Linked DNA regions of Arabidopsis thaliana. The protein of the gene in region 2 interacts with the protein of the main gene of each other region in a pairwise test. Each region holds a gene or a part of one and is shown on either strand. Other genes may lie near its edges.

Region 1 (5,387 bases), on a different chromosome or scaffold from region 2:
CAAGAAAGAATCAACAGTTTTCAATAAATACCTTTTCAAGTTACATTATCCTCCGTTTAGTAAATATCAATCCGTTTATTTAAGGATTTAGAAAGAAACTGAAGCACAGAATCACACATGACGACCTAAACGAAGCATAATATCAAGAGGTTGAGGCTACGAGACAAGTTTAGGGCTTTTGGCGAGCGCTAGCTTTTCTAATCAAACGGGTTTAATACGGCCCAAAAGCCCACTAAACCTAATAGCCTATGAGGACCAAATCAATTACTTGAGGTTTAAGGTACAACTTATTATGATAATGTCGGCAGAAAAATTGCATTAGTAACTTTAACAAATCCCACATCGGAAACATATGGAAATTTTAGCTAGTATATAAGACAGATTTAGTTCAAGCATTAGTAACCAATTGGCTTTGAGGTGGATAAAGCTCATTAGCTTTCCCATGAGATCATGATCCTTGACCCAATAGGGTTCATTCAAATTACAATAGGATATGTATATGATCCATCCTCTTCACGGGAAAGAAGTTGAGCCAAAGCCAATTGGTTATTTTTTTCTATCAATACAAATAATATAATAGCTCAAAACAATCATTAATGAAAGATACAAATCGCCCATGAATTATGAATAAGTATAGATCTTGGTTTTGTAGAAGAGGAAGAGACAACGTTGTCGAAAATTCCAACCAAACTTTGGCAAACTTTACATACAAAAACCCTGAAAACTTGATGTAAAGATAATGGCACATCGCATATCGGTTCACGAAAGTCTAGATAAATATAACATTTCATCAAAAGTTTAAGAAAATATAAGAATTTTTACTAAGAAGAACATTAAAACAAATCACCAATGACTCTTCTCAGCTCTCGCTTAATCATTCCTACGGACGCAACTGCAGCCCCGCGAAACTGCATGCATAAACCCAAAAACGTTACGTGTAAGTCAAGAAAACCCAAATCTGCCTTTTCCAAACATCAGTAAGATTAATTTACCTTGGCCTTGAGATTCAATGTGAGGAACTTATTGAGCGTGTGAGATCTAACAGAGAAAGCATCCATGTGAAGATTGCTCAGAGTTTCCATGATGTCCGCAACTATGTAGTCTCTGTAAGAACATCTTACTTCGATCACAACTTCTGTTTCTTTGAGTTTAACTCTCAAATGTGTCTTATCTCTGAAAACAGTGACTTGTTCGGTTTCTCCTGAATTGTCATCGATCTTCGTGCTATCATCGTAGTTCCCTGATGTCTCTTCGATCAACACAGAGTCGTTAAGGTTCTCTGTCGTCTTTCTTTGTCTTTCTACAAAATTAACTGATCCCATACAAGATTCTAGCTCTTCTACTCTTGCCTCCAGTTCTTGCAGGTACTTGATTGTGTTGTTTAGTATCGATTCTTTATCAACCTGCACAAAGATTCAAAACAGAGTGTTGGCTTCTGAAACACAGTCTTGTCTCTAAGGATTTAGAAAAAGAGTTATTACCTCGTTGACAGTGGGAACCATAGTTCTAAGGACACTGAACTTTTCGTTCTCTTTTCTTCTATCTGAAGGATCATCTTGATTCAGACCAGAGTTCTGACTTGGGAACATTCTCTTTGTGTGCATCAAAGGGACATCATGCAATATCTTCCGCAACACATTCTGTGACTTTTTTTTCTGAACAAAACCCGAGACTTGCTGCTCACATTGCTTCCACCGCAAGAAACTTGAGCCAGGTTCAGAAGTAACAATATTTGGCTGACGATGACGAATGTTCTTATCGTTCTTACCTGATCTATCTGCGGAGTAGTTGAGTACTGTTGAAATGGTTCTTTTGTAATGCAAGTCTTCATCAGAAATACCTAATGGAAGCTGATGCTTCTCTTCACTGATCTTAATCTCCATCTTCTTCTCGTCATCGTTGTCTTGGTGTGCAGATATTTCCATCAAGCAAGATTTGATGTTTCGAAGCAGGTTATGGTCTTCTGAAATCTTTCATTGATCATGAACAAAATTAAACAAAGTAAGGTATATTTAATTCTTGTGAAGCAAGCAACAAAAGTAAAACTTTATATATTAAGATGGAGAGTTACCAATTCAGTGACGCCCAGCTCAATGACTCCGCCCAAGTAAGGGAAACACACAACAGTCTGGAGATAACAACACAGATACATTCTATAAATCTTCTATCCAAATTGATATATAGATAACTAAACTTTCATTTCTAACAATAAGAGAACTAAACTTTTATTTCTAACAATCAGAATCCAGTTATAACAAACATTATAACGTACCTGAATTGATGCGCTCTAAAGGAGAGAAGCCATATGAACAGTAATGAAAAGCAAAGAAGATCAAAGGAGATTTTTAGTCAGATTCGATCTTGATATATCAAGATTCAAGAAGAGGAAATTAGAAGTTTCTGAGAACTTACTCTTGCTAACAAAGAACGAGAGAAGAGCTTGTTCTCCGCATATTGAGCGTTGCAGAGCCATATGGTCTCACCCGTCGCTGAAGCTCTTCCAGGCAAACTAAAGTATATACATAAACAACCAAAAAAGCCAAAATGACAATAATTAATGATCATAAAAGAGAAAAAAAAAACTTAATCTAGGATTACTTAAAATGCAAAAGGTGAAAGTGTAACAAAAAGGAACCCCAAAGGAATAATCACTCCACTATTTACCAAATGGTTTTGGTGGTACTAAACTCTTTACCCAAAGTGATGGATGTTTCATCTTAAAATGAAAGGACATTTCTCATTACTTCTTTATTGCAAATTGGTTTTTCTATATGAATAGTTCACAAGAGCTAATATATTTTAGTGTACAAATTCATAGGAGAAGAGAGAGAGAGAGTGAGAGAACAAACCATTGTGAAGGAGAGAAGACATAGGACATGGAGACTAAATAGTACCACTCTTCATCAGAGAGGTCATCTGGTGACAGCATCATACTTGTACTGTGACAATTATCATCATCATCATTGAGATTATCATGAGTAGTACTAACAGTAGTACCACTGTCTCCTTCAAGCATAGACAAATAAAGTTTCCGAAGCTCCTTGCTTTTTTGCAACCCATATTTATAATGAGATTCATAACTCTTCTTCCTCTTCTTCATATCTCCATTGTAACATCCTTCTCCCCACTCCAAAACCCTAAATTAGTAGAACATAGTACTCATAAGTAACCCAAGATTTAAAAGAAGAGAAAATGGAAATGCAAAGATGAGAACAACAAGATCTGATAATTTTGGTACATGATGAATATTAGATTATACTTACCCAGGTTGAGTAAGTGAAGACGACCAGAAGATTGCGTAGCTCCATTGAACACTTCTTACAGCTAAAGCAAGTTGTTTTCTTAATAAGCTGTTTTGTCTTTTACTTCTTCCTGCTGCAGCTTCTACACCATCAGCCATTGTCAAAGACATATCTAGATATCGTGAAGAACTGAATTTAAAAGTATGGAACCAAAGTGATTGATAAAGAGGAGACAACCAAAAGGCAAAATTTATTAAAGAAGGGTTTGGTATTGAAGCTTTATTTCCTTTTCTTTCTTTCTTTATTGCTTTCTCTTTCTCAGCTTGGTCCTGATGGAAAGTCTTAAAAGAGTGTCTTTAAAGTTGAGTACTGTGTCTGAATTATGAGAGAGAGTGGTTGACTTGGGTCATGATCTTGGTTTTTGGAGTGACTTATCTTTATACAATACATATGGTAATAGTGTTGGATTCTATTTGGTGAAAACCAAGGTAAAATATTCTCTAAATTAGTGATGATGCTGAAAAATATTGCAAAAAGAAAGATTCAATATAGTTTTTTTGTTTCCTCCTATTCATTTAGTCAAAAGCTTGGTTATTACTACTATACTAGGTGATTGGCCAACATCATGCATGGATATGAATCATAAATTTAAGACCGATCTTTTTAACTCTTTTGGATTTGTGTTGTCTTAAATCCACTATGATGTTAGAGTTTATCGTGACACTTTTTAAAGAATACAACTTGAGATAGTTTGACCATAATGATTAATGTTTTGATGATTTCATATTATAGGTTTGGTTTGGATAGTTAATATCCAACAAGAGACAATATAAATACATGTTGATATTACATTGTACTTATAACTAATTTAGATGAATACACTTATGAAATCAACAAAGTAGAGATTCTTAGATTCTTAGTTAAACTTGTGTTGGTTTATATAAACTTAGTTACTTTTTTTTTCGTGTTAAGACATGTCGGGGTCTTATTGTCTTACAATCATTATATATTTGTATCTATCTTGTTGTGTGGAAATGGAACGTATCGACCTACATTGTTTTTTTGTGTTTTGGTAAACGTATCAAGTATCAACATACTTTAACAACCAAAAAAATTGAACTCTTTGTCTGGCTCACATCAATGAAGATGATTAATTTTTTGTTACTCGATCTTAAATATATGACAAACAGAATGTAGTTATACGTAGTTGCAAGAAAATGGAATATACTATTTGGATAGTGAAGATTCTAGTTTCTATGATAGATATAAATGCGCATTTCACCCGAATAATTCCATGATACTCTAATAGATTATATATTAAACAAATACACACTACTGTTCAAGTTTGATAATCAATCGCGAGACATCGCATATACCGATCGTTATTTGTTTACCATCAAAGCACTATTTTGTCCGAAGTAAGTAAATATAGCAAGTGGCAGTAAAAAAATAGTAATAAAATTGAAGGCAAGATCAGGAGAGAGCTGGCTGAAATGAAGGCAAGAAACTCGTGAAAATAATAATTGATCCATCTCTATCCACGAAGCCCTACATAATTTAGTAACGCACCACTTGTGGTTGCATGCACATTTATTTCCATAACGACAAAACTTTGTGTTTAATTTTATAAATTATTTCTGTTGGCACAACACACTCATTATAGCCATATGTTTGTGTTTATATTTTCTATTTTCATAGAAACAATTAATTTAATTTTAGATGCCCTAGACATTTTTTAAATGTATATAATAATAAAATTATAGTATAAAAGTCTATATATTACCCTAAATTTTACAAAACATATACAATCCTAACCAATGGGATCCTATATCAAATTGCATTCAGGATGAAAAAGAAGCGACATGAACCACGACAAAGAGAAAAGTTAGATAAATTTAAAGTTGAGTGAGAACTTGAAGTCTTTAATTCTCATTATACAAGCAACAATTTTCTTTCTTCGGAGAGAAAGAAATGAGAGATTGCACAACACTTCAAGTTCTCTCCTAAGATTGTTTTGTGGCAGATTGACATAACCATCCGTGACAATATCGCAAAGGTTGTGGAAGATTGTTGTCCCAATGGTTCACCCAAACCTAGTTACTATAGTTGGGTCTTGACTTGTATTAGTTTCAGTTTTTTTTTTTT
Region 2 (3,975 bases):
AATTCTTAAAACTTACCATTATCGTTGTTTTTATTAGCTTTGAATGATAAACTACTATCAAAACGATATATTTTTTTTGTATATTTTCGATATTTATCATTCACAATTTTTTTTATCAAAATCATTATAATATTTTTTATTTTTAGTTTTATTGTACAACTTTTTCGTATAACTATTTTTTACAGTTTTACATTGTTTCAAAATAACTTACAGTTTCAACTAATTTATGTTATCAATCAGATCTATTATTATTATATTCTATTATATATCAATTTAACACATGGGTTTTGGCAAACATAACCACCGGAGGATCGGAAAGGAACTTGTGATTGAATAGTGTTTTCTTATTAAAGGTTACACACATACAAGTGTGTAAGTCAGATTTTTCTAAAAGATTCATAAATTTAGCATTCTTTGAGAAAAAACTTAAACGTGAAACTTCCAAGTAAATTATTCTTCAGAAAATCTATAAAACTTTGTGTCAGTAAAGTGAAGTTTATTCCTTGAAATTCTCCCAAATCCATACTAGTCTCGTTCATCTGGTATTAATTACTATGACGTCGGTTGAAAAGAAAATATAAAATTCTAAAAATGTATGATAAATATCTATCACTTCAAAAGGAAATTTTCCTTACAGTGTATGATTATTTTTGTTCTGGAAAATCTTGAAAGAAATGACTTCACACCTTATAGCTTTTATGAAATTATGTCTCATGTGGAAAATTGTTTGTGGACGATGAGCATACACGTTGGTTTCACTTGAAAAGTTAAAAAAATTCTTACTATTTCCTTCAAAAATATTCTACAAAATATCAGCTAATCATCACCAGTGCTATCCTATATCATAAAATTACATAATTGGTGTGTTTTGCGCTAACAAAAAAGAATTAATATTATTTTAGTTTTTGTTAAAGGATATTCTGTCTTAGTTTTTATGTTATATCATACTTGTTTCACCAAAATCAAATTATATATTTTAATCATAATCTAGAATATATTATTTTAGAGGTATCTGGAATAAATCAAATTAGTTTTTATGTTATATCATACCTGCTACACACTATGACTTGTTGAATATTTTGTGATCAGGTCTTGGGTTACCTTTTTAGATATTGTAGAAATCTTCATGAAATATGTATGTTGTAGGAAGCCTGAATTTTGACCGTTATGTGGGTCAAGAGTTATGTACTAGATATTTTTTTACTAGATAAAAAAATTTCATGAAATATTTTTGTGACATAAATTCTTCAATTATTATTATTATTTTATTATTTTTTGGTCCTTCAATTATTTATAACAAGAAAATATTGATATAATATATTCTTAGTCCCCCTTGAGGTTTCTGAGGAGATGTGTTACAAAGAAATACTTTTATACTAAACAAACAGTATACACTAATAAGATGAAGATGAATTAAGGGTAAAGCGATCAAAAGATGAAGGCTAGAGTGGGGAAGTTCAATTCTGCTAAATGGAAAAAAAAAAATCACTTGATGAATATGTACATTAGTGTTAAGAATTCAAAGTTTGTGAGATCTGCAGTGGATAAAAACACTCCAATAATCTGTAAATGAAAGAAAAACAAGAGAAAAATAGCCTCCTCATATATATAGACCATCTGCCATCAATTCTCCTATTTTTTCATTTTTGCATGTTTTGAAGTACAGAAAAAGGATGAAGAGACAAGTTAGGTGTCTATGAACCATTTCTCTAGTCAAATCAGAAACCAAACAATAACTTAGCAAATAAAGCACGACATGTAAAACAGAAATGTGGATATTACACATGCACGTCACTTTCCTAAGCCCGTCACGTGTGTATATATTTCCGCTCAGATACTCACACTCTCTACTCCTCCAAGGATCTCTGAAGTCACAATATATACCTATCTCAATCCTTTTCTTATAGTTTGCTTAGATATCTATCTTTGGTCCATGGAGGGTTCGTCCAAAGGGTTGAGGAAAGGTGCATGGACTGCTGAAGAAGATAGTCTCTTGAGGCAGTGTATTGGTAAGTATGGAGAAGGCAAATGGCATCAAGTTCCTTTAAGAGCTGGTATGTATCTAAACACATAATCATGAAAATTTCTTTACACTGTTCATAAAATCATACTTAGACTTTGACTGGTTGTGTTGTATGCTCTATATTAGACTAATGATCAGACCAACATTTTGATATGTTAAATAGTAATATTTTGGTATGCATTTACTGTTCATTACGTATTAACATATATAGACCGGGGTTGGTCCGAAGTTGTTCCGGAATATATCGGAGTGAACGATGAAATAATATACAGACTCGTTAGATTTTGATCCGGTATTCAATATACCGACCAACTATTGGAAACTTTAATGTTGAACTTAGAGGAAGATTTTTTTTTTTTTTTTTTTTTAAAATGTTCTATGTTTATCTACGTTACATATTCTAAAAACAAAATGCGAACTTCCGAAAAGTCGTTTAATTCTACGATTGGTTTGTCTTCTAATTCATAAATGAATTTAGTGAAAGTTTTTATACGAACACGTGCGTATGTGTGTATAGTACATTGTTTCTATTGGTGTGCATAGATTCTTTATGATAAAATTATAGAAAGAGACAGCAATCTTCTTAGGTTTAACTAATGTCAATTATTGGTTTTGTAGGGCTAAATCGGTGCAGGAAAAGTTGTAGACTAAGATGGTTAAACTATTTGAAGCCAAGTATCAAGAGAGGAAAATTTAGTTCTGATGAAGTTGATCTTCTTCTTCGTCTTCATAAGCTTCTAGGAAATAGGTATAATTTACTTTATTCTACTTATTTAACGAGCAATAAGTCTAATACTAGTAACTCGTATGTATACGTAGGTGGTCCTTGATTGCTGGTCGATTACCTGGTCGGACCGCTAATGATGTCAAGAACTACTGGAACACCCATCTGAGTAAGAAGCATGAACCGTGTTGTAAAACTAAGATAAAAAGGATAAATATTATAACCCCTCCTAATACACCGGCCCAAAAAGTCGATATTTTTTAGCCTCGGCCTCGATTCTTCTCTATAAAAACCGGCTGCAACCATCTCGATGGACAGTCTGAAGTTGGTGTAATTCCTCCATGCCTTGGACTCGACAACGATAATGTTTGTGAAAATAGTATCACATGTAACAAAGATGATGAGAAAGATGATTTTGTGGATAATTTTATGGTTGGAGATAATATATGGTTGGAGCGTTTGCTAGACGAGGGCCAAGAGGTAGATGTGCTGGTTACAGAAGCGGCGGCAACAGAAAAGGAGGGCACTTTGGCGTTTGACGTTGAGCAACTTTGGAATTTGTTCGATGGAGAGACTGTGATCTTTGATTAGTGTTTATAAACGTTTGTGTTCTCTTGTTTGTGAGGTTTCTCTATTTAATTTAGTATCTATTTTCTAAATTAACTAATATCTTATAGTATTTTAGGCAAACCTTATGTTTCCGTTTCTGTGTGAGTTTACATTTTGTAAAAAATAAAAAAATAAGAATATATATATTTTGGAATTTTAGATTTTTATTTGAGATTATTTGCATTTGGAATTTTGGATTTTCATTACTTCATAAGTTTTGGACCAATGGTGTTGTACAATGTATATATCTTTTTGGCAATATACATGCCTAATTTTCTTAACAGCAACCGTTGAACTTGTATCATATATTAGTAACTACAGAGACATTAGATTTTGTAAGTATGCGCTATATAATAATAGATTCTTGTACGTGCATAGTGTTTTGCTATGGGCCAACCGGAGAACGGAAATGGACTTCTGATAGAGTGATTGATATATTGGTGTTTTATATTGAAAGGTCACACACTTACACATGTGTTACAAATTGTTTAAAAGATCTATCAAATTCCAATATGTTCAACGCCGTATATGCAAAATATAATAATCGAGTACATTCAATTCTGGCTTACTTTGATTTCGTGTTGGATCCAATGTTCAAAAAATTGTTAGAATGTAATTA
Region 3 (6,976 bases), on a different chromosome or scaffold from region 2:
AAAGGAAGTGGAGCCAATGCAGTTACACATCTTGCAGCTTTGATAATGTATGATGATCAACTAAGAGAAAAATATATATAGCTCATGCTGCAACTATGAACATTGTCAATACATTTATCTCGTTGGTTGATAGCTTAATATTCTTGACTTATAAATGTTCTTCCATACACTAATTATGAGTATAACTATTAGTCTACTCTAGAAATTGTTGATTCTTACACTAAAACGCAATTTCGTAATTTTGCTGGAAAATTTGATTTCGTAATTTGATGTGCTACAACTTGATTCTTAAAATTGAGCACCAAAGTAGAATGTAATGTTTTATATAAACTCTTTGATTTCTCTAATCTGAGGTTAATGATAAAATTACATAAATTATGACATACAAATTTTGGCATAAATTATTTTAATGAATTTTGTAAAGATTTTTTAATAATATTTTCTCAAATTTGAACGTAAGAAAAAACTACATAGAAATTCTACATCTTTATGCATCAAAAAAAATATGATGTTTTAGATGCAACTGAATCTGCATCCAAATATCGCATTCATACAAAAGTACTAAATTGGACAACGAACAACATCGTCATCTAGTACATTTGCATTTATATGTTGCAATTGCATCATACACAAGTACTACATTGGACAAATGAACAATATCATCTAGTACATTTTCATTTATATGTTGCATCCGGCTATATATGTAACTGATGTCTTAATACATGTGAGGCTAAAACAAAAATACGCTTAATTATCCTTCTCTAGAGTTGGCATCAATAAAGTTAGGGTCTATAGATTAGTATCATGTATTATGACTTGGTGGATGGCTCTTTTGACCTCAGCGATGCTTGCTTTCTTCCCTCTTACTTTCGCCCTTATCTCCGCCTCGAAATCATGGTCGTTCACCGAGGTATGAACTGCCGTAGTCTCTATACCAAGCTCATGAAGAACCTGAAGAATGTCAAGCAACAAACCATCTCGGTACTCACATCTCATCTCTAACAAAACATCATTCTCTATGATGGAAACCTCCACCTCCTCCGATGTTTTTCTCTTACAAGTACGCGTCCGCTTATGCTGTTGCTCATGATGAGTATTCTCAAGCTCATGGACCCTCTTTCGAAGATGATTTACGTACGCAATGGTGTCTCCAAGGATTGAGACTTTATCCATCTTGGTCACAAATGGAACCATTGATCTCAACGTTATGAATTTCTCGTTCAGCTTCTCCCTCCTGCGTCGCTCTGCTACTACGTGGCTCAGATCTTCCCGCGGTAGCCTCTTATCTTTAGTGTTGTCATGGAGGAAAGGAACTCTGAAGATCATTTGTTTGAGCACCCATTGTGACGACGGCGCCGTTTTCACTTGCTGATGCTCTTTGCCATTCTCAACCCTCCACGTGGCAAACGATGATTGGATGTAAGAAGATGTGGAAACTGAATCTGAAAGAAGACTTGTGGGGTGTGACATGAGAAGTGTTGTTACTGTCTGAGAATAGTTTCCACCTTCCTCCATTAGATTCATCATGTCCATATGTGTGTCTACATATATATACAAATGATAATTTCTTAGATATAGCGAAATAAATCCGCAAAATATAAGTAGCTTAGGGTAGATATATATACCTAACGTATGGGTTGATTCAATATGAAGATCAGAGTGTAGATTTTGATTGGAAACATCTTCATCATCAGGAGAGCCAAGCCTCATTTCCTCTGACATTGTCATCTCTTCTTCTACTTCTTCTTCGTCTTCGGCTTCTTCATGCACTTCGTAGGTGGAGTGTTCAGAAAGAGCCGGCTTTGGGTTCGTCTTGCAGTGGTCATAGAAGAAACTCTTTGTGAGCTCAACAAACTCTACATCTTCTCTTACCTACACACACAAATACAACAAATAAATATTGATCCATCACTACAAAAAAAAGGATAGATTACATCAATTAAATAGTATCACAAGTATAAATGGTACAAGTTTAAATTACTTATAAGCAAATGACACAAAATAAATAATTAAACATCAATTATAATAAGTGATGTATAAATTAACATGTTTAGCGTCACTTTAATCAAATTGATAGAAATTTGTATTAGTTTGCATCATTTTAACAAATTGATACAAAAATCTGTATTTACACCAATTAAATAACCGATGTATTCACTTAATTTTATTAACATCAGTTTATAAAAATGATATAAAATTATACATCAATAAGAAGTGATGCTAATAAGTTTTTCTGTATTTTAATTTAAACAAAAAACTAACTTGAATTTATTGTAGATGACGAGAAATTGTTATTACCATAAATAAATAATCATATTGGGTTAATAATTTATTATTAATTCCTATATTTTCCCTCAAAATCAGCTAACTAAATATATTTGTTTCCTTCACTATAAATCCTGCTTTTACGCTCACGATCTTTTTTTACAGTTTTGTATCCAAAAACGTTTTTAGAATATCTTCAAATTAGTTTTTGAAATCTCATAACTCTCATTCAATTCTTCATCTTCAACGACAAGTACTTTCTTATTTTTCTATCATTCTATCTTTCTCTTTTTCTTAACCATTGCTCAGTTTTTTTCTTTTCTTTTATTTTCAGAAATCTGCCATTGATCATTAGGACTGTTTGTTTTCCTACACAGTTTGGAGAAACACAAAGTAAAGGTACTCTATCACTTTCTTTTAAAAATACTTACAAATGGTTATTCTTATTCCGACCAAAACAATTCTGTAAATTTTCAAACAATTACTCTCTTTTTTATTTTGTACAGCAGAAACTCAAGTGTGATGAGGATTCAAGAGATATAAGTTATAACCAAAGTATGATTTTGATTCTGTAAATGGAAGAGAGATGGCATAGAAGAAGAAATGGTATTTTTCAAGAAGAACCAACAGTTAATGGAAGGAAGAAGCATGGAACAGAAGAAAGATGTGTTTAAACACGAAGAAACCAAAACCAAATTATGATTATTTTTTTGCTTATCTTATATAAAGATTTATTGTTCATGTAAAATATTTTATTAAATCTTGATAAAATTTTAGTAGATATTCCAACGAGTAATTATCCACAATGATCTGTTATTTAAAAAAAAAAAAGAAATAAATAAAATAATTATTTGAAATATTAATAACATTGTATTAATAATTATATATATATTAATTAAATCAGTTATTTAAACCGAAACAAATACTAACATCACTTAAATAAATTGATGTAAACATTACATCATTTTTAGTAACTGATACAATATTGATATCAATTATAATAATCGATGTAATTATTTTGATTATTTACATCAGTTACTAATTAACTGATGCAAATTATTTGCATCAACAATATTTAAGTCACTTATTTAAGTGATACAAAATTCTTTTACATCACTTTTAACTAATGCAAATATTTATAATAAATGATGTAAAACAACCTTTTTTTTGTAGTGCATCTCCTTAATTTAACATTACTAAACCTAAAGAAAGATAGGCTATATTCACTTTGTTATTTTGTTTATATATTTCATTAACAAGTAAATAAAAGAGAGAGTATATACAACGTTACCTTTTTCGTTGTGCCTAGTTCCACAACACCATCAAGCATTGGAATGCAAACCACTGTCTGCTTTTTTAAAATACATTTTCATCAGAATACAATTCTCAAATCTTACTAAAAAGAGCAAACTAATAAAGACAAATTTTACCTGAATTTTAGCACTCTAAGTCATTGAGGAACCGACGTAAAAGGCCCATAAAACGACAAGAAGAATTATTCAAGTTAATCAGTGAAAATGTATAAAAGTATAGATAAATAGGTTTACAAGTAGATAGATACATAGTATAGTGTATACATAAATAGGTAAAAATAGATGCATAGTATAGTTGGTGAATGAATAAAAGAATTTACCTTAGCGAGAATAGCTCTAGAAAAAGTTTTACTGTCAACTTCATTTGCACCACTTAGCCATACGTGCTTCCTCCTTGCATACGCTTTTCCTGGCATCCTACAAATTACTACCTCCCAAATTTATATTTGATTTTTTTTTACCACATAGAGAAAAGCATGAAGTATACCCATAACTAACCCATTTTGTTATGCATTTATGTTATATCTATTCATGCTTCTACTTTAGATAATCAATCACCAAACAATGAGAATCTCAACGGTCGCAATAATGTTCATGAAAATGTAGTGTGTGTACGTTTCATTAACTCTCATTTCTTTCTTATTCTAGTAACTCAACTTCCTCAGTTTCTCTTTAATGTCAACACAATATTTTCGATATTCGCATTTAACACACAATACTATTTTTGTCTTCACTTAGAGAAGGAAAAAAAAGAAAGAACAAATTTAGAAACTTGAGTATAGGGAGAGAGTTGTTTACCCAGATGGAGGAGGAAAAGAGAAAGAGACGCACATTAGATAAAACCATTCTGTCTCCGTCAAATCCTCCGGTGACAATGCGGTGCATGCTCTTGCTTCTGACGTTGACTCTCCGGCTAAAAGTGTCTCATAAAGCTCCCTGAGCTGTTGGCTCCTCTCTAACGCCGCCTCTTCTGCCGTCACCTCCGCTGGTTGAGTTGTCTTCCTCGTCTTTATTGCACCGTTGTAGTATCCATTCCCCCACACCAAGACCCTAAACAATGATACTTTCATATAAGTAGTTCAAAAATCTTAATAAATTTTGTAAAACCTTCAAAAAAAAAAAAAATTATTTCAAGATCGAATTGTAACACTACGACAAGCCAACAATTAGCCGAATTCATTTAAACATATAGTTTACATAATATATACGGATATAGATATTATGGTTGTATTGTGAGAGATGAATGAACTATAGAGATAAGAAACTAACCGTTGTTGAGGACAAAATTGCCAGAAGACACTATAAGTCCAGTCCACAGATTGAACCGCCGTCTTAAGCAGCCCTTGAAGCTCTTTTTTCTCAGCTCCGGCCACTTTCTCTGCCGGAATAATACTTGATTCATCCATCGTTCCCGGAGATACGAAAACGTGGTAGCTCTCTCTCTAAAAATCTTATAACTTTGAAGGGTTGTTATTAATATGTGAGAAGAATTTACTCTCATACGCTCATGATGACTTAAAATGGTATGGGACCACTGATTTTTGCAATATGCATGTATACGTATATCATCTTAGTGCTTTTGCAACATGTTGACATAAGTAAAGTATAATGCATGTAATGACTTCTATGTATATATGTATGTATATGAATGCATGACCAAAACTCAAGTGCATTAAAAGTTGACTTTTGATTTTTGAATGGTTGGTTCACCAGACGTTGGATGAGAAAGTGAAATAATGAAAGATCTATGTATCTTGTAGACGTGTCATATACTAATTGGACAAATCAAAATACAGAATGAATATATCTAATAATGCTATATTTATTTATTGTTCAGAAAGCATAACATATTATTGTAGATAAAATAGCTAACTGACAAACAAATGAAAACAAATGTTGCTTTGACTTGTGTTACTGCTACAAGGAGCAAAGAAATTGCGTTTTTCACATTTCTATTATTTATAAAATTGATATTAAAATTATATATTGATTAAAATGTTCATTAACAATTTTAAGAAGTTGGAATTATTGGATGAACATTCATATATATTTTCTTTAAAATGAAAAGATAAACTTAACCAAAGATGGGGAATGGTAGAATTGTTGACCTGACCGGTAAGTAAAGAATGAGAAATGGTTTGGTGTAATAAAGGAGAAGAATGAGATGTTTCACATTTGAGTTATTAAATTATTGATGTTAATTGCTAGCCAAGTAGCAGCCACTAGCCACTATAAGTTTCCCATTTAATAATGTCTTATAAAATATAAATGTAGATAGATACTGTTACGTACACATATCGTAGTACATACGATTTTGGGTATGGTTAAGGGTAATGTATGTACACCTGGTTACTTAGACAAAATCAACATTGAATGTTTCTTGGCTTTTTTGTCGACAAAATAAATGTTGCTTGGCTTTTGCTTCTGCTTCTGTGTTTCTTATTACATGTTGTTTCTTCTGAGTTTAGTCGTTCACCAATTATGTAACTCTGACGACGGGCCACGTGGAGTGGTTTCTTCTTATTGATTTTGCTTCTCCTTGTGTGCATCTTTGTGTTTATAAATAAAGGTGTTATGTAACTCATTTCTCATTGGAAATGATTCAAATAACAGAAAATAAACAATACTGTTCTAACACAGAAATGAGCGATTGGTTATTCACAATCACAAGGACAATGCTTTAGTACATAAACGAGAGGTTGGTTAGGCACAAATGTTAACTAAAACCCAAGTTCTTCCATTCCAGAAATGACAAATCATTCCTATTTATAATGCTTTGTTTTCAATGAAAATGACATTAGCCAAAAGTGTTTTGGCAAGAATTAGTTGTTGGAATACAATATATCTTTACAACGCACAACTGCATGAGCTTTGAAGGACCCCGGCCGGTTTATGATGAGAGTGAACTATTTGAAAAGTGGACCACATAATTGTAGAAAAATAATGGGTAATATAGTGTGATGCAAATTGGTGTGAAGTTTTTTGAGTTATTTTTTCTTTCTTTTTCTGAAATGTAATCATTCGTGTGAATGAGAGATTTCTTGTATTTTGTTCAATATATTAAGACCCGGTCCAAACCGGTCAGTTGGACCGTAATCCCATGATCCCGTTGGGGATCCATGGCTAAAATCGCCATGTATTGAACCCTGAAAAGTTCATCATTAACTTGTGATCTGACCGAATAACGATTTAAAAATCACTTACATCAATCTAGAGGATTTGATTTTATAACCTTTTACCACAGTTAGAGGAATTAGTTTGACATTTTCGGATAACAAATAGTATGGTTTTCTTTTTCCTAACCCTTTTTTGCTACCCAAAACCTAAGCTTTATAATCTTTCATAACATGCGTAAGATAGTAAAAATATCAAGCGGTAATGACTAATGAAAAGACAAA
Region 4 (5,838 bases), 1.2 Mb from region 2:
ATGCATTAGAAGTACTGTCCAGAATTGTAGTATTTCACTACATTTTTATAGTCAAATTATATATATTAAGCAAAAGTCAAAATGACCCTTTTTGAGCTGAGAGCCGGAGACTATAGGCTACAGAATCTAATGTTTGCGTGTGTTCACGATGACCACAGTGTAACTAGATGACATATCTTTTAGGAAAGTAACGAAAAAAATAATCAGCAAAGAAAAACTATTTAAGAAATTACTGAAAACACAGACGTTCACGTTGATATAAATGTACAAATCTTCATTTATCAGGTTATTATGTTTTATGAATCATACAGTTAGTACATGAAATAAACAATATCTGACTCCGTTTTTCAACGTACAGACACGACAAGTAGTCCTAGTTAGGGGTGATAATTTTGGGAGATGCGAAGAATTAATTAAGAGCATGCACATAGCATATGATAATAATGACTCTTGGTTTCTTCTTTATTAATCATCTCATTTAAATATCATTTTCTCGTGATTTTGATCAACATAGGTTGTTACATAGCTAAACCCATTATCAATCCCTTACCTTAGAATTGAAGTCAAGGAAGAATACTAAACCTTACATTATCTTTAGATCCCAAATTCACTCGTTCTTGATAACCTTATTGTCTAACTCCATATATAATTGGCTCGTGTACGCATCTTTAATACAAATAATTTACGAGGTTGCGATTAATTAAAATGAAGGTGCATAGAAAATTAATTAGCAATTATACAAATGTTCTATGGTATTTCCGAAGATTCGAAAACAATGTAGAATATATATATTCAATGAACATAGTATATATTATATTTTAGTTAAACCATACAACGTAATTTAGTCAATACTAGAAGCTTGTCTCTCTCTCCAGGGTATCTCCTCGAGGCATAACATTAATTTCATGTCTTTCTTCGTGTTTCACCATTAGGATTTGTTCTATCTTAAAATCAAGTTAATATTTGTGTATATATTTGACCAGTAAGGCAGTAACATATAAACATTGCTTATAAGGGTGGCAAATTGGTTTGGTTGGATTTGTAAGTGTTATGCCTATGAATTTTTTTTTTGGTTCAAACTCTGCTTAAAGTCTAAAGACCTATATTATGAGTTACTAAAAAAAGTTATTTCCTCCGTTTCAAAATATAAGATGTTTTAAATAAAAATATAAAAATTAAAAAATCAAAATATAAGATGTTTTAATTAAAAATATAAAAATTAAAAAATATTTTTTAAAAAATTCAGCAGATTATAAAAGCTGATGCATAATATAAATATGTATACAATATTAAATTAATCTATAATTTACATAAAAACTTGAAAATATTTTATATTGTGAAACAAACAAATTTCTTCAGAACATCGTTTATCATGAAACGTAGAGAATAGGACATATCATTGATAGAAAAAAGATTTTAGAGATGGAAAAATAACTAATTTCTCTTAACAAAAATAAATTTCCAAAAGGAGAGTGGTGCTTGGAACACCGTATTCAAAAGGGTTATACACTAGACACTACTTTTTTTTTTTTTTACCATCTTGTTTTATATATATTTATTTAAAATTCCTCGTAAAGTTCAGTGTTTTGTGATTATATACAGTGTACACACACCTAAAATAAGTATCCATAAAGAGATTTGGTCATTCGGACACCGTCCTTTTCTCTCAACTCAAAGCTCAATTCAACCACAACAGATAGTAACTTGAAAGTCACAAATATTTAATATTTTCCCATTATAGAAGGTTAAAAAAAATAAATATATTCTGGGTTTTGTTGTCTTCTTCTTTCTTCCTCAGGAAACCAAACCAATGTCATGTAAAAATCACTAACTCATGACTAGTCATAACCTTTAAATCACTTCTGCTTTTTTTCTGTTTCTCTTTTGATTTATTCAAAGACAACAAAGTTTTGTTTTTGACAAAAAATCTGATCTTTGTTTGTTCGTTTGTTTGTTACATGGGGATGAAGAAACAATGGCAACCGGAGAAAACAGAACGGTGCCGGACAATCTAAAGAAACAGCTCGCAGTTTCAGTTCGAAACATTCAATGGAGTTATGGAATCTTCTGGTCTGTCTCTGCTTCTCAACCAGGGTACAATCTCGTAATCTTTATCCTTCAAATTAACTTTTCTTGAAAATAAAGTTTTGTTTGAGACATTCTTGACTTTAGTCCAAAACTCAGATAAAACTTTATCCTTACTTCAAGATTTCGATTTTTGTTATGTTTTCTCGATTAATCCAATTTTTCTTGGCTATCTTTTTTGTTTTCTCTAAACGAAGAGTGTTGGAGTGGGGAGATGGATATTACAATGGAGACATAAAGACAAGGAAGACGATTCAAGCAGCAGAAGTCAAAATTGACCAGTTAGGTCTTGAGAGAAGTGAGCAGCTTAGAGAGCTTTATGAATCTCTCTCCCTCGCTGAATCCTCAGCTTCCGGTAGCTCTCAGGTCACTAGACGAGCTTCCGCCGCCGCTCTCTCACCGGAGGACCTCACCGACACCGAGTGGTACTACTTAGTATGCATGTCTTTCGTCTTCAACATCGGTGAAGGGTAATTCCGTCTCTTCCTCATAATCCTTTCATTTCACCTTTTTTAAAAACAAAAACCTATCTTTCAGAAAAATTTCTTTTATGAAGAATATCGTTTTTAAATTATAGTATTATTTTATTCGTAGACATTATAAGAAAATGTAAACGATACCAAAATTCTAAAAAAAAAGTATAAGGGTATGTTTTATTTTGTCTCATAAAAAAAGACAAGAACACCCTTTATTAGCTTGTCTCCTTCATTTCTTCTTCCATGTGAGCTTATTCAGAAATCCGACATGTACGAGTTTAATTATTAACAATGCAATTATCCTTTATATTTACTTAATTTTTTTTATGTTTGTAGGTTTTTTTAAAGTATACCTCTTTTTAATCTTAGAAGACATACATAGATAGAAATGCGAAAGCACAACGGAAATAAGTTTTTACTTCATTTGCATAATTGCATTATACATTTGCTATTCAAAGAAAGTAGTAGAAAACTTTTGTTCCCATTAAGATAAAGATTTTGAGATACAAAACATAAAGGGTATTTCCGTCTTTCTAATGTAGAATCCCCGGAGGAGCGTTATCCAATGGAGAACCAATATGGCTTTGTAACGCTGAAACCGCCGATAGCAAAGTCTTCACTCGTTCTCTTCTAGCTAAAGTAAGTTTTTTGCAATTGGAAACGCTAACGCTAGAATTCAAGAACGCTATAACTGAAAACGCTCTTTTTTTTTTTTTTTTTCGTTTGGCGTTTTGCTCTTTAAAGAGTGCTTCGCTTCAGACAGTGGTTTGCTTCCCGTTTCTTGGAGGAGTCCTTGAGATTGGCACGACCGAACATGTAAGCCTATATTTCCTATTTTTTTTCCAACACTATCAAAACATTCTTAAAAGTACCCAAAACTTATCTTTTGTTCTTTTAGATTAAAGAGGACATGAACGTGATACAAAGTGTTAAGACGTTGTTCCTTGAAGCTCCTCCATATACTACAATATCGACAAGATCAGACTATCAAGAAATTTTTGATCCCTTAAGTGACGATAAATACACTCCGGTGTTTATAACCGAAGCTTTTCCAACAACTTCTACTAGCGGGTTTGAGCAAGAACCTGAGGATCATGATTCGTTCATCAACGATGGTGGTGCGTCTCAGGTACAAAGCTGGCAGTTTGTGGGTGAAGAAATCAGTAACTGCATTCACCAATCGTTAAATTCAAGCGATTGCGTTTCCCAAACGTTTGTTGGAACAACCGGGAGACTTGCTTGCGATCCAAGGAAGAGTAGGATTCAACGGTTAGGTCAGATTCAAGAACAGAGTAACCATGTAAATATGGACGACGATGTTCATTACCAAGGCGTGATATCGACGATTTTCAAAACAACGCATCAGCTAATACTCGGACCGCAGTTTCAGAACTTCGATAAGCGGTCTAGCTTCACAAGGTGGAAGCGATCATCATCTGTGAAAACATTGGGAGAGAAATCGCAGAAGATGATAAAGAAGATACTCTTCGAGGTTCCTTTGATGAACAAGAAAGAAGAGTTGTTACCGGACACACCAGAGGAAACCGGGAACCATGCCTTGTCCGAGAAGAAACGCCGCGAGAAATTGAATGAACGGTTTATGACATTGAGATCAATCATTCCCTCAATTAGTAAGGTAACCGATTCTAGCAAATCTGTTTCAGTAACGTTTTATGTTTATTTCTTGATAATAGGAAGACATGTTTAAATATAATGCTCTGAAGGAACTAAGCTTGAGTCTCTTGCTGATTCTACAGATTGATAAAGTGTCGATTCTTGATGATACAATTGAGTATCTTCAAGATTTACAGAAACGGGTTCAAGAGTTGGAATCTTGTAGAGAATCTGCTGATACAGAGACACGGATAACGATGATGAAGAGGAAGAAACCGGATGATGAGGAGGAAAGAGCATCAGCGAATTGTATGAACAGCAAAAGGAAGGGGAGTGATGTGAATGTAGGAGAAGATGAACCAGCTGATATCGGTTATGCTGGTCTAACGGATAACTTAAGGATCAGTTCATTAGGTAACGAGGTGGTTATTGAGCTTAGATGCGCTTGGAGAGAAGGGATATTGCTTGAGATAATGGATGTGATTAGTGATCTCAACTTGGATTCTCACTCGGTTCAGTCGTCAACCGGAGACGGTTTACTCTGCTTAACTGTCAATTGCAAGGTACAGTCATTAAACCAAGCTTGATTTATGTTACTCAACCGGAATATGAGCAAACCGAAATGTGATATGTAATGTTTAATGTTGATTGCAGCATAAAGGGACAAAAATAGCAACAACAGGAATGATCCAAGAGGCACTTCAAAGGGTTGCATGGATATGTTAAGGATTCAAGGTTTAGATTTGACAAAATTAGCTTTTTCTCTGGTTTGGTTTCCCAATTTTCGGTAATCAGTGATTCTAACCGAGTTTTTGTGATTTTGAAGTTTTGGAAGATCCTTAAGAATTCTTGAAAAATCGTTCCTTTTGGCTCATTACGTAGGAGAAGACAATAAGAAATTACTTACTTAGCAATTAGCATACTATGAAATTCAATTATGCGAAATATGAAAACCACTCGTAGTAGTTCGTGCACTATCATTTTTAAAAGTAAGTAAACTAGAACTTTTTTTTTGTTGTTGAAAGTAACTTTTGTATAAGTATTTGTAACGAGATCATATTTTGTGACTAGTTCAAGTTCGACCAAAAACATTATAGTAAAATCTAAAGAGATACTACATAGCCCGATTCCAGTATCTTAAGTCTTCAATCTCACTTCAAATATTCTTTATATGTTTTTAGAAAAGTTATGTAAGAAATTAAAAAAATATTTTTAGAAAAGTTAAAGATAGAAATGGTGGTCAAAAGCTGATAAAAGTGTTCGCAAAATACACTGCCTTATAGAGAAAAGAAGTAATGTCATTTCAAATAATTGCATCTAACGCCACTGAGATCTCACTTCAACATGTGTTACCATTTTAACATTAACTTTTTATTTCAAAAAGAAAGGAAGAAAATTGTAAGCACAAGGACTATACTGTATTTGGATTTCGTTTGGTAGCATCAAAGTAACACTCTCATTTTAGTAAGAGGTTAACTTTATTGAAAATACACATAATGTGGGGTTAGAAATTGTGTTGAACAATTTCTTGATTTAGAACGAAACTTAAAAAGAGTGGAAATTCTTTAATGGGTTGGTTGGCATGGTAGGTGGCCATTAAGAAGATCCATGAATTGGTGAAGTTGAGGTTTATATCATGTATTAGCCTCGGTATATAGTGTGT

Evidence for each region.
Region 1: the proteins of MYB114 (region 2) and ATMYC1 interact in a two-hybrid assay, tested with the Arabidopsis thaliana proteins (one study listed by BioGRID).
Region 3: the proteins of MYB114 (region 2) and TT8 interact in binary tests that used the Arabidopsis thaliana proteins (3 or more experiments, as listed by UniProt).
Region 4: the proteins of MYB114 (region 2) and EGL3 interact in a two-hybrid assay, tested with the Arabidopsis thaliana proteins (one study listed by BioGRID).

The regions. Positions count from the first base shown.
Region 1 is NC_003075.7:216,273-221,659, forward strand, and holds ATMYC1 (basic helix-loop-helix (bHLH) DNA-binding superfamily protein), read right to left. Parts: upstream 3,510-5,387; 5' UTR 3,413-3,509; coding exon 3,264-3,412; intron 3,138-3,263; coding exon 2,850-3,137; intron 2,510-2,849; coding exon 2,413-2,509; intron 2,288-2,412; coding exon 2,273-2,287; intron 2,129-2,272; coding exon 2,072-2,128; intron 1,971-2,071; coding exon 1,482-1,970; intron 1,404-1,481; coding exon 993-1,403; coding exon of another isoform or gene 984-992; exon of another isoform or gene 962-983; intron 909-961; coding exon 848-908; coding exon of another isoform or gene 834-847; exon of another isoform or gene 770-833; coding exon 594-769; 3' UTR 540-593; downstream 1-539. UniProt on the Arabidopsis thaliana protein: Trancsription activator, when associated with MYB75/PAP1 or MYB90/PAP2.
Region 2 is NC_003070.9:24,755,480-24,759,454, forward strand, and holds MYB114 (myb domain protein 114), read left to right. Parts: upstream 1-1,818; 5' UTR 1,819-1,933; coding exon 1,934-2,054; intron 2,055-2,566; exon of another isoform or gene 2,567-2,619; coding exon of another isoform or gene 2,620-2,641; coding exon 2,642-2,771; coding exon of another isoform or gene 2,772-2,842; coding exon 2,843-3,011; 3' UTR 3,012-3,456; downstream 3,457-3,975.
Region 3 is NC_003075.7:6,180,075-6,187,050, reverse strand, and holds TT8 (basic helix-loop-helix (bHLH) DNA-binding superfamily protein), read right to left. Parts: upstream 5,171-6,976; 5' UTR 4,985-5,170; coding exon 4,848-4,984; intron 4,629-4,847; coding exon 4,377-4,628; intron 3,996-4,376; coding exon 3,899-3,995; intron 3,711-3,898; coding exon 3,696-3,710; intron 3,614-3,695; coding exon 3,557-3,613; intron 1,873-3,556; coding exon 1,626-1,872; intron 1,542-1,625; coding exon 790-1,541; 3' UTR 528-789; downstream 1-527. UniProt on the Arabidopsis thaliana protein: Transcription activator, when associated with MYB75/PAP1 or MYB90/PAP2. Involved in the control of flavonoid pigmentation. Plays a key role in regulating leucoanthocyanidin reductase (BANYULS) and dihydroflavonol-4-reductase (DFR).
Region 4 is NC_003070.9:23,597,834-23,603,671, forward strand, and holds EGL3 (basic helix-loop-helix (bHLH) DNA-binding superfamily protein), read left to right. Parts: upstream 1-1,579; 5' UTR 1,580-1,817; exon of another isoform or gene 1,818-1,970; 5' UTR 1,971-1,975; coding exon 1,976-2,094; intron 2,095-2,282; coding exon 2,283-2,555; intron 2,556-3,103; coding exon 3,104-3,200; intron 3,201-3,305; coding exon 3,306-3,377; intron 3,378-3,459; coding exon 3,460-4,197; intron 4,198-4,318; coding exon 4,319-4,738; intron 4,739-4,829; coding exon 4,830-4,901; 3' UTR 4,902-5,331; downstream 5,332-5,838. UniProt on the Arabidopsis thaliana protein: Transcription activator, when associated with MYB75/PAP1, MYB90/PAP2 or TT2. Involved in epidermal cell fate specification. Negatively regulates stomata formation but promotes trichome formation.